Oryzias latipes: one gene and its partners. The protein of the gene in region 3 interacts with the protein of the main gene of each other region in a pairwise test. Links are inferred from orthologs where the notes say so. Each region holds a gene or a part of one and is shown on either strand. Other genes may lie near its edges.

What was found.
Region 1: the proteins of rnps1 (region 3) and dual specificity protein kinase CLK2 interact in binary tests that used the Homo sapiens proteins (3 or more experiments, as listed by UniProt). The two-hybrid records come from large-scale screens. The link is inferred for Oryzias latipes from reciprocal best matches to the Homo sapiens genes RNPS1 and CLK2.
Region 2: the proteins of rnps1 (region 3) and srsf6 interact in binary tests that used the Homo sapiens proteins (3 or more experiments, as listed by UniProt). The two-hybrid records come from large-scale screens. The link is inferred for Oryzias latipes from reciprocal best matches to the Homo sapiens genes RNPS1 and SRSF6.

The regions. Positions count from the first base shown.
Region 1 is NC_019869.2:6,673,911-6,680,056, forward strand, and holds the start of dual specificity protein kinase CLK2, read right to left. Parts: upstream 4,003-6,146; 5' UTR 3,847-4,002; intron 2,828-3,846; coding exon 2,640-2,827; intron 2,537-2,639; coding exon 2,263-2,536; intron 2,149-2,262; coding exon 2,137-2,148; intron 1,361-2,136; coding exon 1,270-1,360; intron 592-1,269; coding exon 525-591; intron 1-524. Other genes in the region: histone-lysine N-methyltransferase SETDB1-B, read right to left, coding at 5,147-5,248, 5,771-5,961. UniProt on the Homo sapiens protein: Dual specificity kinase acting on both serine/threonine and tyrosine-containing substrates. Phosphorylates serine- and arginine-rich (SR) proteins of the spliceosomal complex.
Region 2 is NC_019865.2:7,382,792-7,388,951, forward strand, and holds the start of srsf6 (serine/arginine-rich splicing factor 6), read right to left. Parts: upstream 3,812-6,160; 5' UTR 3,727-3,811; coding exon 3,620-3,726; intron 3,283-3,619; coding exon 3,119-3,282; intron 885-3,118; coding exon 745-884; intron 638-744; coding exon 435-637; intron 321-434; coding exon 249-320; intron 166-248; coding exon 1-165. UniProt on the Homo sapiens protein: Plays a role in constitutive splicing and modulates the selection of alternative splice sites. Plays a role in the alternative splicing of MAPT/Tau exon 10. Binds to alternative exons of TNC pre-mRNA and promotes the expression of alternatively spliced TNC.
Region 3 is NC_019866.2:11,023,158-11,029,269, forward strand, and holds rnps1 (RNA-binding protein with serine-rich domain 1), read right to left. Parts: upstream 4,152-6,112; 5' UTR 4,060-4,151; coding exon 4,058-4,059; exon of another isoform or gene 3,991-4,057; coding exon of another isoform or gene 3,989-3,990; intron 3,477-3,988; coding exon 3,342-3,476; intron 3,237-3,341; coding exon 3,060-3,236; intron 2,970-3,059; coding exon 2,864-2,969; intron 2,610-2,863; coding exon 2,456-2,609; intron 2,364-2,455; coding exon 2,222-2,363; intron 2,104-2,221; coding exon 1,998-2,103; 3' UTR 1,714-1,997; downstream 1-1,713. UniProt on the Homo sapiens protein: Part of pre- and post-splicing multiprotein mRNP complexes. Auxiliary component of the splicing-dependent multiprotein exon junction complex (EJC) deposited at splice junction on mRNAs.

The DNA of each region.
Region 1 (6,146 bases), on a different chromosome or scaffold from region 3:
TTTTAAGATCTTTTATATTCCTAACTACTCAGTGTTTTATCAGGACCTGTTTGGATGAACAAAGAGCTGATTTCCTGGAGATGGGAAATGTTTTTAGATCAGTTAATGAGGGCAAGTTCCCACCCCACACTTGACCATCTCCCACGGCACACTAGTGTGTGCGGCACACTGGTTGAAAAACACTGATTTAGGGAACGCGTCTCCAGGGATAAATCAGGAAATACTACATCATTTTCTATGGGTGCATACTCACTCAGTCCAGCTCTAATCAATAGGTTTAACACACTTAGATTCAGTTAAATGTATCCTTCCTGAGATAAATCTAAAGTTTTGGGGAATGTTTGGTGAATGTTTCCACTTTTCATCTAAAGTCTTGTAGTTTTGTCAACAGAAAACCAGATTTACTTCAGAATTTTGTAACAACAATAGCTCTAAAATCCACGACTGCCTCCATGGGCAAATGTTTTTTTAGTTTTTTTTTATGACAGAGAAGAAAAGACGGTCCAGGCTGAGCGGACCCTCACCTTCGATGGTCGATGCATTTCATCACCCTCCCAAAGGTGCCCTCCCCCAAAGTGCCGACGATCTCATCTGCAACACCACATGAGAGGAGGGGAAAGGAGGGGAAAGTGGGGCAAAAGAAGAAGAAAGGTGTTAGACGACCGCAAACGACAACGTATAGACAGACAGGCATGTCACTGATCGCCCATCCCAGTCTGAAGACAGCCGCCTACCCGGTCTAACGTTCTGATCCGTAATTAACAGAGGAGGCAGCCGTAAGGCACTCCACTCTTTAAATGACTAAATTTGAATCGTCGTGATGTTCTAAATGAATTTAAAAGTGTGATGTCAATGTGGTAAAGGCTAAAGTGTTGCTAAAGTGACAGTAAGTGTTGAATGCGAGCTGCTAAACTGTGTGGATTCCCTGTAAACAACAGACAAGCTGGGGTTGATAAGATGAAGCTCTGAGCTTCACAACTACAAGGTGAACTCTAGCGAAGTCGAGTAACCTGTGAAACGGAAAAATGCTCCACAGCCTAAGCGGCTAAAGTAGGGGGGGTGGGAGAAGAAAATAAAGCTATAGTCCATCTTAAATTGTTCAACATTTCTGCAGTCCACCCTGCTAATTCAGCAAGAGCGAAGAGCATTCTAGCAAGGCATCATCATCATCATCATCATCGTCATCAGGCACTCCTTGTGTCATGTAAATGCTCTATGCTGTAATACTCATATGGAGAAGGGTTACGATAGAGTAGTGGCAGTGAGTACATCTCTCTTGCAGGACGTCCCCACTCCGACAGATCAGGTGCCCTTCCTCGTCGTCCCTCACACTCAGTGCCCGCGTCCGGCTGTTGCTCCTCTGTTTTTTCACCCAGACCGCCATCAGCAGGTCACAACACGACCGGGGGGGGGGACGCGGGGGTTTCAGTGTTGGCACAGGTGGATGAGGAGGGAGGAGGAGGGTGGTGGTAGTAGTAGTAGGTGGATTTCGTGGTCATGGGGCGATTCACGCATGACAGCACGTGAAGGAAATAGATAACGATATAGTGCAAGGAAAGTAAAACATCATTTGTCGTCCTCTGCTCCTCTCCCCCCTCTACCTTCCAAACCATGACTGCTCACAAACAAAGAAGCATCTGGCATTTCCATTCATCATCTCAAACCAATAAAAACAGGCATTTATCAAAAAAAAAAACTTTTCAGACTGACATTCTGGAAGAACGATGGAAGAAAAAAGTTACTGAAGGAGACCAGCTCAAGCAGAAATACTTCCAAAAATGAACCACATCCATTTTTTTTTACCTAGGAGTTCCTCAAGTTAAACTACCTTAAAGGTGTGGTTTAATTAACAGAATAAAGAGAAAAAACAACTAAAAGGGCAAATTTGTTAAAGGCTACTTATGATTTTTGAAAGAACATTTTCACTTTTCTATGCAATCTTAGAAATCAACTACCACTACAAAATAAAAGTTGATTAGATGTTTAGGAATAAGAAACCTCCAAAATTTGGTCTAAGGAATGACTAAGATGTTATTGCCAAAAAATGAAAATGCCCTGAAAACGGAATGCCAATTTCTGCAAAAGTGTAATAAAAAAAAAACAGAACAAAATCAAATCATAAAATATACTACTTACCAATTCCACAAGCTGTAAAAAAAGGAACGGTTAGAGAAAGAGATAGACTAAAGGAAGAGAAGAAAGGTTGAAGAGGAGAAGATGAAGAAAGCGCTAAAGCACCGTCTCAGACATGGTCGTACTCACCGAGGAGGATTGGCTATAGGACCTGGTTTTACGCCGCCTTCGTTTGTGCTTACGCCTGCTGCCTTTCCTCTGGTAGGACCTTTCCCGCTCTTTCTCACGGCCGCGTCGGTAGTCGTACAAGTTGGGGGAGAATTCTCGTGGATAAAAGCTCTCAGCTGTGCCGTGGGGCTCCCGGTCCCGGTCTTGATCTCGGCTGGGATCGAGTCGTCGGTATCCTTCACAGTATCTTCGGTCGTACGGTCGATGCTCCATTGAGCGATTGTCATAGCTGCGACTGTACAAGACAAGTAAAAACACAAAGATTTGCATCAAAAAAGGAGATTCTTTTGAAATTTGGAGAGGAAAACCAACAAAAACTGCAGCTCTTGGAGACAAACCTCCTGGTTCTTCCATAGCTTCCGTTGGGTCTGTGTCCCCGCCCTCTTCGGTCACGCTCTCGGTCACTGCTGGATGAGTAGGTGGGTGATCTTCTGTACCTTTGTCTCCTTCCTCTGTCTCGGTAGCGGTCCGGGTAGCTGGTCCGACTGTCTCTGTCAGAAGACGAATACCGTCTTGTGTAAGGCATCTGCAGGAGTGAGAGAAAGAAAACCGATAAATCCACAGAAAAACCATCATCAGTCAAAACTGGACAAAGACTTATATTTTACATGTTGAATTATATGAAAAGATGAATAATCTTGGTATCAGATTTATGAGGAATCCCAAACATATATTTTAATCCAAGTGTAACTGGGTTGGGACGGCTTCCTCAGAGATAGCTGCATTGATTGAGAACATAAAAATGTGTCACGAGACCCCGCAGGAGCCACACGGCAAACCTGCAGGAGCAAGACTGCAATCCAAGCAGGAGCCAGACTGCATTTCTTCAGGAGCAAGACACTAACCCCGCAGGAGCCAGACTGCATTTCTTCAGGAGCAAGACCGAAATCCCCAGGAGCCAATCCTGGGGATTGCAGGAGCAACACTGCAACAACCCCAGAAGATCCAGACTGCAACCCCAGCTCCTGCGGGATTGCAGGAGCCAGAACTACAATCCCACAGGAGCAACACTGCAACATCAGAGGAGCCAGACTAAACCATCTGCACTAACTCCGAGCAGCAGAACCGCCTCCGTTAATAACAGACAGTTCATTTAAAAACTATCAACACTAAAAATCATAATACAGTGATAATGAAGAGCAGGACGCTCTGAGTTCCCGTATATTTAACAGCATTTCTATCAAGTTTGTTTGAACCTTTGCTAAACCAGATCGTTTAATTGACGGGGGAAAAAATCCGAGTCCTCCAAGTAACGTCTGAAACATGATTTGATTTGTTTACTCTTAAAAACGTTAAGATCGACAAAAAAATAACCACCGCACCCAAACCTGGTGATAAATGACACCAGAAAAAACGCGTTCTATATAAATTCAAGATATCGGTGTTTAGTTGGTAGCTACTCCATGCTAGCATCTTGCTAATGTAAATAACTAGACCGCCATCTTAGCTTAGCTGGATTTATCAGCTCCGTAACAGCAAGCTAATGTACAAACTGCCGTCAAACTTGGAAATAAATGACACGAAAGAAAGCTAGAAACTATTTACCGTTTTAGCAGCGAGGCCTGTGCGTTTATCCCATAAGAAATCCGTGGTGGCGATAATATTTCTCGGCAAAATTCTTGCTAGCCTGGTGCTCGGTTGGTGTCGTCCGCCTGAGGCCCGCGGCAGGCAGCGCAGCTTCTGCTTCAAATTGCTGCCGCTGGCCCCGCCTCCGCGCGCGAGGACGTCTCCTCTTTCCAAAATACTTCCATGACATTTTAGGAAACCGTAGTCCTTTCTAATCTGGGATTAAATCATACTTATCGAGATTAATATTGTTTTATTTCCATGGAAGCGAGTTTGCAATAGAATGAAACTTAAAGAAAAAGATTGGGCAACAAATTATCTAAATCTGGTCATTACATAAATACATTTGATTTTGAGGTAGTTTAAACTTTCACATCTGGCCACATTTTAAAAAATGTATTTATTTGTGGCTGCTGTTCCTTGTTGCTTCCCCAAAATGAACAATCAATATAAAAGTAAATTTAACGTAATTTAAAAATCCCAAAATAAATTTGTCCTCATGTTTTCCAGGTTTAAAATGTAATGAAAATCGTTATTTCCATCCAAAACACAGCAATTATTTAGATCTAAAGTAAGAATAATTCATTTTAATTAATGAAAGTTCCACATTTGCTCTTGTTTTATCTGTAAGTAAACTGTTTTCCAAACAAACGTGGTTTTAAATAAATAAAAACATTTAGTTTGAATGAAATCAAAAATGGATTTAAAAAGTTTGAGACCTTCACATTTTTTAATGTTTAAAAATAATGAAAACCATCTTTTGCGTCTTTAACACAAATACAGACCAGAATCAAAGGGATTTTTATAAATAATTGTAACAAGAACGGACGGTTTACTAATGAGAGGCTAACCAGTACATTAACATTTTCAAAACTATAACAATAAATTGGAATAAGATTAATAATTGCAGATTATTTGAATTTATTTTGATTTTTTTCATTTATTTTTTCAGTCATAAACAGCAGATGTTTTGCTTATAATCACATTTCAGGCTAAAAGAAGAACAAGCAGAAAAATAGACATTTTATTAAGACTAAAAACTACATTAAAGTAAGCATGAATCCATAATTAATGTAATACAAAGTGAACAAAAAGTGAAGTAAAGCAGCGTAATGTCCACAGATGCTTCAGATGTAGATTTTACTTTTAGAGACACTAAATAAAATCCATTCAACTGTTCACAAGGAAGTTCCTCGATAACAGCGCACCTCGACAATTAATGTCCTCCTTCTGCAACTTCTTTTCTGAAATAACTTCAGACACATGTTGATAAACACGATCAGGTTTTCTTCTTATTTTTGGACATCATCCAGCGCCTCAGTTTCAGCATGTGCTCCAGCCGTAAGGAGCCTCTGTAGATCCACTCTGTGTGCCCGTCACTCTGGGAAAGACCACACAAACCACAAAAGCTCACAAAAAAAAGGAACCACACAAAGATAACACTAGAAACTAGAAAGATCTGCATTTCCAGAAGAAAATGCAGGTTTGAATGCTATATTGCTGAATGAAAATAAAATTTAAAGGCTAATAATTGGAAAAATAATTCATAAAAAAGAAGGAAATCATCAAAGTTGACCATAAATAAAGTGAAAACAGCACAATAATCATAAAAGATATTTTTGTGAAAAATGCCAGAGCCGGGTCTCGAACCAGCGAGCTTCTGCACCAAGGATTCTCCATGTATTTCAATGGAGGCAAAAATCCTGGAAATACTGGAATATCTTGAAAAGTTCAAGGATTTGAAGGACCAAAAGTCATAGCTGGAAAAAGCTGAAAGAGCCGAACATTTTAATAGTTGAATGGTTAAAATAGCTGAAAAATGGAAGGAGTTAAGCAGCAAAAAAAAGGCGGAAGATACTATAATACAGAAAGAGAAACAGGAAAACAATGAGGGGGTGCAAACCTGGAAAACGACTTTCAACAAGCTACTGTCGATGAGCAGAACCTTGCAGTCCTGCTGGGTTCCCCGATGTTCTGCCTTCATGACCTCCCCAACCTTGTACTGGCTCTGGGGGGGGAAAGGCCAATCCTGCAAGTACTGCTTCATGAAAGTCCAGTGATCCTTGTCCTGAATGTCATCCAACGGGTCTTCCACTGTCACAGGAATGGGATAATAAAGTTTTTATTGGGATCACAACAGAAACAGAGATGTGAATTCCAGGGGAAAAAAAAAAAAAAGAGACATGTTATCGCTAAATTCAGCTTGGCTCCAAATCTGCTTTTTTACCTCTCCGCTTTTCAAACATGTCAGATAGTGTTGATTTTATTTTTATTCTATG
Region 2 (6,160 bases), on a different chromosome or scaffold from region 3:
CGGGAGCGAGATTTGCGAGACTGCGAGCGAGACTTGGACTTGCGAGATCGGGATCGAGAACGGGATTTGCGGCTGAGGGATCGAGACTTCCTGTCTCCTGACTTGGAGCGAGACATCCCAGATCGTGAGCGGGAATGACGTCTTTTGTTGCTCCGAGAACGAGACCTGTAGGGGAAAGCAGAAGAAGAGCAGAAGTCTTCAATCTGTAACAACGTACTCTTAATGTTTGAGCTATCAAAGACTCTTACCTAGAGTGGGATCTGGAACGGCTCTTTGAGCTCCTACGGCTCCCGCTGCGTGAACGTCGGCGACTACGAGATCTGTGGACATATGCATGAAGTGGTAAAACTACTGCCCGCAATTAGTCTTGGTAAAAACTACTGAAAACTTTTAAAAATCACAGAAACTACATGAAAAATAAACAGATTTATTACCTGGATCGGCTACCAGAGTAGGACCTTCTCTTGTGCGGTCTGTCTTCAACCAAACGGATCTTTCGCCCGTTAATATCGGTTCCATCCAGCTTGTCCAAAGCCCTCTTCATGTCAGAATAGCTCCGGAACTCAATTACCCCCTGGTTAGTGCGTTCCTTATGAGCATCAGCATAAGTCACCTCTCCAGCCTGACGCATGAAATCCTTATAGGGTAAGAAAAAATTAGAACCATGCTTAAATGCACTGCCAAGAAAGAAAATTGCAAACTATGCGCCGATGACATGACCAAATCCGTCGCTTTAACAGATACCTTAAGGTCCTGCCAGCTGCAGCGGCTGGACAGGTTCTCCACAATGAGGCGGTACTCGGTACGGACAGGAGGCCCATACTTGTCTCTGCCTACGCGGGTCCTGCTGCTGCTGCTGTTGCTGCTGCTGCTGTAACCGCTGCCTTTAAAAAGGAAAGCACACAACAGTTATGGGAAGCTAATACGACGGGCAAAAGAACTACTGAGCTCGGCTATCAAGTAACATTTCCAAAGGGGATTTTACTTAAATAAATGAAGATCCATCTATTTTCAAAGTCGAAAGTTCAAATAAGCCATTTTGGAGCTCTAAAGTTTGAATTGTAAAAATACAGAAGTTACAAGAACACCACTGTATCTGTTTTGGTATCCAGTAACAAAGCCATTCTAACTTCTTAACCTCTGCACCTACTAACACAAAAATGAGGCATCCATACAGGTTTCTGTTAAAGAGACTGGTCCATCAAATTGACCAAACAAAAAGCATTTACTGTTTTTGGACAGTTTGGAAAAGTCTGAAATGCTTTTTTTCTTTCCTTTCAGGCTTATACTTACAAAATTGTTTTTTTGATTTTCCTAAAAAAAAAAAAAAAAGCTGATCCAGTCATGTTTTCTGACAACATAGAAACCAATGGCAATCCTCACCATCACCCCTGGTCTATTGGCAAAAGGTTGCTGTCATCATGGCTTCCGGTTAGGTCAGCCAAGGATCAAGAGGGGGGCAAAGGTCACACACACATTGTAAGGTGAAAGCCAAGGCCAAACGGGACAGGCAGTCATCTTAGCCAGTCATCTTTAGCCTCAATGGACTCTCAGCCTCAGCCCGCAACAGGACTCTTTCAAATTGAAACATCAAGGACTTCTGTTAATGTTTAATATATAAAAAAATATATATATGCCAAGGTTAACAAACACATTTCATAAAAATGTTAGTGAAGTCCTAAAAAAAAAAGAAAAAGACCAGCAAAGACTACACTAGCTACGTTTGCAGTCATTTGTGTGTAAACATTTCTAATCAAACTAATTTTACAATTTAACATCATTAATCAAAACATTTTAAAGAACTCCACAACTTTTTTTTTTACTTTTACTTGGATACATAGCATTACTCTTAAAAGTGCCCTGAGTTCAGAATAGCAGTTTATTCCTCATTGAAATGAAGATTTGACTCCGTGCAAAGTTTTGATCAGGGAGAAAACGGTTCACAATAAACTGACACAATGGAAATTATCAAATTATCAAAGAAAAGACGAGTGCAGTCCATCAGAGTGAAGATAAGATTTGAGAAAGCACTAACGCCTGATTTAAAACAGGGTTCCTACAGGTATGCTCACAGTTTACCAAAATACAATACATTATCTTCAACTGGATTCTATTAATAAATTGCTCCTTTAGCATTCATCTACTTTTGATTTAAAAATTAAAAAAATTACTTTTAGTTTTTAGAGCTTTGCATGGTCAAGCTCAGAAGTACATATCTGACCTTTTAAAATATCTGACCTTAAACATCTGACCTTAAACCTGCTTTAAAACTAGATGAGATCTCTCATTTCAAGCCGTTGCTCTTCATCTTTGGAACTCCCATCGTTGTTGCATCAGAGGGGCTCCGTAGAGTGTTTTAAATCTCAGGTCAAGACGTTTTTAATCAGGAGAGCTTTTAGTTGATTTTAGAACTTATTTTACTATGTTTACAGTGTTTTGTTTTATTATTTTATTACTTTTGTGTTTTGATTTGATGCTTCTGCTGTAAAGCACTTTGAGATTCTTTCTGGGAAAAGTGCTATATAAATAAAGATATTCTATTCTACAATACGATTTAAATCAGGTTGAACTGAGTAGACATATGTTGATTCAATGTAGCTTGAACACCATAAGGACGAACCTAAACACAAATAGGGGAAGGGTAACACCTCTTGGGCAGTAGCCTTCAACCTTGGTCCTCAGGATCTACCACCTTGGTTATTTTCTAGACATTCGTGTCGTACCTACTTTGATTATCTTAGATTAGATGTGCTCAGTTGATTAAAAAAAACCTTTAGCAGGTATATAAGTGAAAAACTAAGCAAGGTAGTAGATTTGGAGAAACAAAGTTAAGGTTGTTTTAATGTTAGATCTGCAAGCTAAAAGATTCAGAAAGAAACAAGGAACCCTGTAATAAAGCATAACTGATTTAATACGCAAGTAGTTGAGGTGGTACAAAAATAAATGAGTTTTTTTTGCTACAGAAAAAGATACAAACAATAACCCAATTAACGAGCAAAAAAACTGTAACACTGTTAAAAGGGCTTTATTACATTATCAATCACCTGAGCAGCTCACATTGTAACCTCACTGATGGAGGAGAAGAAGAGACGTGGTATCTTTAAATAACTGCACTTACTGCGCCCACCACCCCAGGAGGAACCCCCACCGTAGCCGTCTCGGTCTCGCCGCGGTCCCCGGGCATGCTCGACAATCACCCGCTCCCCACACAGCTCCTTCCCGTTCAGCTCGTACACAGCATCGTCAGCATCCCTGTTATCCTCGAACTCAACGAAGCCATAGCTGTGGAAAGAAGAATCACAATTTCATTTCACTAATAAGAACATTATTTGAGTGAGGATAAATTCAATTAGCCGACGTTAGCTTAGCAAATGTAGCAAATAACGACGCCATGTTTGACATATGAGAATCTAAAAAGAAATCAGAGAAAATGGACGTTTTACCCTCAATCCGGTATTTATTTTAACACTGACAGGAATCCTTAAGCGATATGTAACGGTGACTGAATATGTACGCGCACAGTTCAAACGCGTTCACCTCATGTCTGCAGCTACGCCGTAGACATGCCCAGGTGTCTTAGCGTTAGCCAAACATGTGCGATTTTATCTCTAGAACTTACCCATTTTTCATATCGACTTCCAGTAATTTACCGTATCCGCTAAAAAATCGTTGAATATCTTTTTCACGAACATGATAGCTTAAACGACCTATGTAAACACGAGGCATCTTTTTTTTTTTTACTGAACTTGTTCTCGACTGTTCCACCAAATAGCTACACGCTACTGTAGCTAGCTTCTTCTGTGGTGGGCGTTCACTAAGTTCCAGAAACAGCCAATCAACGACAAGATAAGCTATTTCCGGTTCCTGTACTGCAGTTCTTACTTCCTGTCCTTTTTTGTAATTTCTTTTTCATCATTATTATTTTTTGGTTAAGAACAGAGCAGTAAACAAAGAGTTTATTGAAAGAACACGGTCACACAATGACATATAATCAGGGTGTTGTAAAATTTCACATAGAAAATACATACACACATTAAAATCTATTATCTTGTGTTCCGAAGATTGCACAATAAATTCAACGGGGCTTGATGGTTTATTAATTATGGAGCATTGACTGTTCTCATGTACAATCAATGTTATGTTGTCCAAACATATACGTTTTTCACCTGCAAACCAATAGCCGCCAATTAAAAGTATTTAACTTTTCCAAAAACTAGTAGAAACAATCTGGAACTATCTTATTTCCCCCAGTTCTTTAGTCATCTGATTGATGTAGATTTTTATTAGTAGTAGTATTATTTAGATGTGTTTGTGTCAAATTTTGTGTTCTAGCTCTGCATTTCACATATTTATAGGCTGCCTTTACATTAACAAAACATTGGTCCTCATTATTAGGTTTACTACGAGAGTTGCTAAAAGGAAGCAAATATCCGATTTTTAACCAACCTTGGTGCACAAAAACAACTGATAAGCTATTTATGCGACAAAAAATAATTAAGTATAATATTATACAAGATTTACTGAGAAATGTAGCTTCAAATATTCAGGGGAAAAACCTATCATATATAAAGATCTTTAAAGCTTTCACTATCATTCATAAATGTAGTTTACACAATACAAGTAAATCACAAATAAACCTTAACCCTTGGTAAATTGTATTATTTTTCTTGAGGTCCAAAGCCATTTACAGTTTTCTCTTTTGCCGCCTTTAACCAGAGTTGTAAAGATCCATTGAGTAATTTCTCATATTTTATATCAGAGTAATACCAATTTGTATCTTTATTATTCATTCGTTCATCTTCTGGTGTTTTATCTTGGGGTCACGGGGCTGCCAGAGCAAGGCAAGGGACACCCTGGACCGATCGCCAGTATTGCAGAGCCACAATCACACACCCATTCACTCTCAGGGACAGAGAGTGTTAGAGTTCCCAACTGACCTATGGAGCATGTTTTTGGATGGTGGGAGGAAGCCGGAGACCCTGGAGAGAACCCACACATGCACAGATTGAACATGCAAACTCCACAGAGAAAGGTCCCCCATTGTTCTGTGTCAGGTCCCCAAGCAGGGGGGGAGGCAAGAGTGCCACCGTGCAGCCCGTTTCTTTATCCTGCACTGTGTTATGAAGAAGTATATTATAAATTCTAAACAAAAAAAATCATTTTTAAAATTTTAGTGACTATGTTATGTTTTCTTAGAAAAAAATATATTTTTATACAAAAACAAAGTCAATTGTATCCCCTATTACCACAACAGTACCTGTACTCTGTTTTATAATCCTAGGATCCATCCCTAGATCCATTTAAACTCATTACGCAATGTACACACTGTGCAAAAAATTACATTTTCTACATTTACTTTACTTTTCAGTTTGTTACATTTTGATTGATTTATTGACCTGAAGCCCAACCAGAGGGACAAATCTGCAGCCCCTGCATTGCTGCCAAACCTTTCCACCAAGTTTCTTTCTCCTTCATACATCGCCGAAATGTACTTCCCCAAAACGCCATCTAATCCGTTTCCACCCGACGTGATGGATGGAACTTCAAATGTGAAAAGAACACATTTTTATTGATGTAGAATAATAATTTTTTGAATAAATGGGTAAAAATGTTAGTCGGTTACGTTGAAACAAAAATAGAAAAAAAAATAATTAAAAAAGTGGTGTACTGAATATGAGTGTCAAGAAGCACGCAGTAGTAACAGACATTGTCAAGGTTTGTAAAATACTCAACACCAGGAAATAAAGTACTTTCATCTGGAAATATTTTGAAGGCCAGAAGAAACAGAATCAACCCTTAGTTCCTCCAATAAACTTTAAAAATGTGTTTGCTACAGCAAGTCGAGAATGTAGAGCAAGAGAACATTTTATTTTATGAAAAAAACAGTTTTAAAACAAGTTCAGACCAGTTTTTTTGCCATTACTGTCAAACAGATTTTTTAGGTCTATTCAGATATTCCGAATAAACTGATGCATTTTTAAAAATCTTTGTGAAGAATAACTTTCATCAGATTTATCTCCCTCTTCAGAATTCCCCACACCCTTTGCCCTCAATGCTTTTGTCTATTAATCTGTCTTCAGGTGAAAAAAAAAGCCTTCTCAAAACAATAAAATTGATTTTTTCCCCAAATCATTCTAATAAAATCAGTCAGTCAGCTTTC
Region 3 (6,112 bases):
ATGAGACACCTAGTGGTTGTTATGGTAAATAAAGGGCACAACTTCCCAACACATTTTTATCTTTGTTTTATAAGTTTAGTTAATATTTTGGAATACTTGACCCTTGTGTGGTGTTCATATTGTTGTTACTCAGCCAGTGTTCGTGGGTCTGGTGGACCCGTTGCATGTTGTGGTTTTTAATGCCTCACAATCAAACACTTTGATGTTAAAATACTCGACAGATGTTTACCTCATCCAATTACAATCAGTTTATTTGGTTAATATTTGCCCTTTACCTTTGTTAGATCACATTCATAACTCATTATTTAAAACGTGATAAAGAAAATCAATTAAAATCAAGATATGATTGGAAACAAATTTTCAAGTGAAGCAATGGTTTTCAAAACTACTAACTTTTATTTATTTGAACAAAGAAACTGAAACCATTCAGGTGCACAACACAAGCTGAACACAGAGTAAACCTATTGTCAAGACAACACATCAGCCCCATGTAAGGGCTTCTAGCCACTAGCCTTTACAACACATGGTCCTGGCTGCTGACAGCCTGGTCCTGGCTGATGGCTTTGTTTTGGAACTGGCTGATGCTCAATCTAAATGGTATGGCTTATACTTATATAGCGCCTTTCTTCCTACAAGGACAAAGCGCTTTACAGTCACGGACCCATTCACCCAGTCACACACACATTCACTCACACATTCAGACACTGGTGGCGGCTCCGCCAAACACAGGCGCCCGCCAACCACCAGAGGCAAGGTGGGGTTCAGTGTCTTGCCCAAGGACACTTTGACTCATGGGCCTGCAAGGCGGGAATTGAACCTGCAATCTTACGATCAGGGGTTGGCCACCCTACCGCTGCACCACGGCCGCCCCAATCTAATCATCTTCTCCAGAGTCACTGTCAGACTCTGAATTTTCAGAAATGTGATCCTCCAATTCTGAAACCTCCTCTTCTGAATCGTCTCCCTCTACATCATCATCGAAAACGTCTCTCTCTTCTAAAATCAATTCCAGGGCCCTCTGCGCAGAAAGTCTTTTGGCCATTTTGATCAGTTGTGATGAGAAACCACACTGGCAAAGCTATATTTATAGTGTCCCGCCTCCAATTTGTAGCAGATCTTTATCTGCTATGTGAGATATTAAAGATTCCCGCAAGAAAGTCAAATGATCAAATGTGCGGGAGAACGAGAGCAAACAGAGTTGATGCTTGAATTATTCTAACAATGTTGCAACCTTGTGCGGGAACCGCAGGTGCAGAAACAGAACTCACATTTACAGTGAATCTTTCTCTCTCTGCCACTCTCTCTCTCTCTTTCTCACTGGTCACACACACACACACACACCCACACACACACACACACAGCAGGCCCAGACAGGTGGAGGACAGAGTGTAGGTACATAAAAACATCAATTTCCACACTTCTATTAGCCCTGGGTCCAGTGGACCCGAACATCTTATATGTAATAGAAATGTGTTGGGGGGGGTATACGGTGTGTGGTCATTAAAAATGTATTCTGATATCTGTTCTTCACAGAAAATGAGCCAAGGCCAGTGAGTCTGAGTTTGAAAAATTAATTAATTGTATCATTTTTCTTTTGATAAAAAATGAAAACGGGTCCCACAGACCCGAACACCACATAAGGGTTAAAAGTATTTTTGTGACTAGAAATCAGAATAATAGTTGAGCCGGATCACAAGATGACAGAAATCAGAATCAAGATGTTTCATAGGTTTTATTCTCAAAATTCTTCAAAAAAAAAAATCAACTCGAATGAAGGAATCACAAAATCTTGTTAGATGTCATCAGACATAACATAAAAACTACAGTCAATTTTCAGCACAAAATTTAAAAAAAAAGAAAGAATTTTTCTCGTCTCCTTGTCACTACGAACTCAGCTAAATTTACTGCAATTTATATAGATCCTTTGTGTCCGAGGAGCCAGGAAATGCGAAAACTGCAGCTGATCTGCGGCGAGTATTTAGAGTAAAGACAACTTTCTATCTGGAGGAATTTGAGCTTGAACGAGAGCGATGGCGCCTGCGGCCAGGAGACCTAGAGCGAGAGCGGCGACGTGGTGGCGAGCGCCTCCTTGGGGAGCGTGATCTAAACAGGCACAAAAAAAGGACGAGCATCAGTAGGTGGGAGAAGATTCCGTTTCAATGGACCGCATAATAAAACGTTAAAAATATTAAAAAGGTACAAGTGAAAGCTTTTAAATAACCTTCTTCTCATGCGTGGTGGGCTGCGGCGCCACATCGGTGGAGGTGGCGGCATTCTTCGAGGAGGAGACAGTCTACGTGGAGGACCACGGATCAGCTGAGTCAGCACAGCAGCTGCAGTGATTTCCTGCCCGTCAATCTGACCTAAAAAAGTCATCAGGAAGGTTTGTTTTTACCTGACCAAGTTTATGTTCGTCAATATGATTTCTCCAGCCCCTTAAATGATTCTTTCCTACCTCCATCCATGTGTTTAAGAGCTTTCTGGGCTTCTTCAGGGGTCTCAAACTCCACGTAAGCAAAGCCTTTGGTCAGGTTTGGGAAGAGCCTTTCCACCGGCATGTCAACCGCTTTAATTTTTCCATATGTAGAGAAAATCTCCTGGATGTGTTCCTAGTAAATTGAAACATACATTTAGTTTTTAACCATTATTTTGTGAAGGATTGTTCCATTAAAAAAAACTAAAAACAAAATATTTAGCTTTTTATTTAATTCTTGCAGTTTTAGGCGCACATCTTGACAGACAATAAACATAAAGAATATTTCATTCTAACTAGTTATCATGAAAAATAAGATCTGCTTTTATTGAATTAGAATTTTTTTTTTAAAAATCAAAGATTTAGCTTTTGTTTGTTTTTTTAGCTTGCCTTGGTTACATTCCTGGTCAGCCTTCCCAAGTGAACCTTTGTGGGTTTAGGGGTGGGACTTCTTTTTCTTCGTTCTCTTTCTTCTCCTCTCTTCTGTGTTTTAGAACTGCAGGATAAAAAATTACAGAATAAATATTGTCAATATTTTTGAGATACAATATAAATATTTGTCTCATGTCTGAGAAAATGGACTGACGGAGATCGTGAACGGCGTCGGTTGTCATGGCGTCTGCGGCTGGGACTTGGAGAGGCCGAAGAGCTGGAGGAGGAGGAAGACCGAGAGCTAGAGGATCCGGAGCGACTGGAAGAGGAGCTGGAACCACTTGAAGAACCAGAGCTAGAACCAGAGCTGCTGCTGGAGGATGAGCTAGATCTAGATGTGGAAGGTCAAAAACAAACAATGATTTAGTTGGGAATGAACATCCAGGACAGGATGCTATATTATATTTTTAAATATAAGAAAGAAAAAATAGCTCACCTGCTGCTGCTGCCTGATGAAGCACTGCGGCGTTTCTTTGCTTTGTCGCGACCCCTTTCCTTGTCTCCTTCCTTTATTTTTTCTTTTTCCCTGTTTTTCTTTTCATCTTCCTTTCGCTTTATCGGTAATGGTGCCCTGATGTGGCGAGAAAGCACATAAATTAGAGACCTAGAAACCTAAAAAAGTGATTATGTCTAGGTTTATGTAAAGGATTGTGATTTATGTTTTTATTGGATAGAGAGAAACAGCCTTAAAATGTGCTAGATACAAATTTTTTGCACCAAAAAGGTCATTAATTAAATTTAACTCGTTAATTACTTGAATATATATAACTTTTTCATTTCATTTTTATCTAATTAATTCAAAATTGTTTCGGTGTTTTTTTTTTTTTTACCGACATTTAACATGTGCACAATAAATTGTAATTATTTTAAGCTTAATTCCAAATGTTTAGGACCGTAAATTACATAATATTTTCCCTTACACTAATATTTTCATTCAGAAAAAAAAAAACCTTCTATTTGGACTCGTTCCCTCGTTGTTTTTTTTGAGCACAACAAGGGACTAAACTACACCCGCGTCGCGGTTAAACGACTTCTTCCTTTATAAGGAACTTTCGCGCAAAATAAAAAAGCCTCCGAACTTACATGTTTAAATCAACAAGTTCCGCTATTAAAGCTATTTAGATCGAAAATACGTAAAAAGGTTAATCTTACATTCCAACGGCCAAAAATGGCTTCACTTGCGGTCTGGTGTGAGGTCGCGAAGTGATGATGAAAGCGGATGTTACGTAATTTTTTATTTTAACTTTAAACAAACGCACACACAAAAGCTACAACAGAAAAAAAGAAAAAAGAAGAAAATAGAAATAAATAAATAAATAAAAATAATATAATTGTAGTTTACAATACAAGGGATTTTCATACAACGCGTGATCTTCAATGAAAATAGACATTTTATTGCATTTTTGCTTTTTATTAATATCAGAGATTTTTAATATAAACTGATCTCAATATGAAATGTATTGAATAATGGTTTTGTTTTTGAAAATCTGCTCTCATCAATGAAAAATTTCCCAGATATTAATAAAGTATTGAATGTCAAATCAAATATATTATCAACAGAAACTACTCCAAATAATATGATCTGCTTTTGTAATTGAATATAAATAGGAAAGGGAAACTTTGAGGAGCAACAAGAAAAGAAATTCTCCCAAAAACTGTTAACATATATACATTCAAAAAAACAGATGATCAAGTGTTTCTATATTTATGTCACAGAAAGAACAGTTATTTTCTGGAAAACCAAAACGTATATGTATAGTAGTTCCTTGTATGGATAGACTGCATACATTATTTTAAAATGGATTTCTTTGTATTTTGGAAAAATTTAATATTTAGTAAATTCAGATCTTAAAACGATATATATATATATATATATATATATATATATATATATATCGTTGTTGTTTTTTTTTTCTTGCCAACTTTTTTTGTAAACATACACGACACAAGTGTGGATGAATGAAAAAGTTATAATACAAATCCATGCAGACCTTACATATAGTCACAGCACTGGAGCATCGCATTTTGAGTTATTGTTGCAATTTTTTAAATATGTACAGTCTAATCAAAAGATTTTTAATAAATATTACAATTCCAAAGTAGGTGACTGAGTTTTTGGGTTTTCTTTCACAGAATGTTAACAAACTTTAATATATTTTACAATGTTAAATATCTTGACTAGTATTATTCTGTGCAGAAATTGAGAGGAGATATCGCTCATCTTGTCATTAATCAACTATTTCTGATGCAATGAAAGTTCTTTCCATAGCAAGTCAGAGACAAAAGTATTTCACTAAAAGACAACAAAATGTTCTGAAATAACATCTCGTTGAAACAAGGCACATATGACTTTGTTATTCTCCTGAGTAAATTTGAAACAAGATTTTCCAACAGGGGTGTAACTGATTTTCTCTTTTCATCTTCTTTATTTTATGGTGTTGACATTTAGACTTCGAGTCCATAAAAATATGTATTACTATATGTTAGATTAAACTCCTCAGTTCTAAACAAATGTCCTTTTCTGTCAAGGAACTGACCCATATTATTGTTGAAATTATTATGACAAAAAATATATATTTGTTTTAGTAAATGATGTATTTCTTAGTCCAAATAAATAAATTATAAGTGAGGGGTGTTTATAAACAAGTGCCCAGGAAAGAAGTGTCTGTCAAAAGCAGAATTTTATAGTCATTTTGACAATGTTTTCTTTGTCACAGACAACTTGTTTGTTTGTTTGTTTGTTTGTTTGTTTGTTTGTTTGTTTGTTGACACCACAGTTACAGAATATAAAGCCACTCAAAATCCCCTTTGCAAAGGTTTGAACTTTCATGCAGACTCTTGTGTGATGTATTTCTTTTCCCCCCTGCACATTCAATTTGTTGGTGTCCTTAACCATCCAAACCTGCAACATCAGCTTAATTATATTTGTTGAAGTAAAACTGAACCATAATTATAAGTTAATTCTCATTTCTTACCAGTGTGATTCAGTTCGTCGCTAGATTATGACGAAAGCGGAAGTTACGTTTGTAAACGGGTGCCACTCACAACTTCATTTGTTTTTTTAAGGTGTTATGGACGTTAGCAGCTTGCGTATTCGGCTGCTGCATAGCTATGCAAAGGGGACCTAGTTACTGTGGTGCGTGAATTACGCTGCTCGAATTCGAAGCACGGACATTGCTTCCTTCGTTTCTTCAGGTGAGCGTCCCA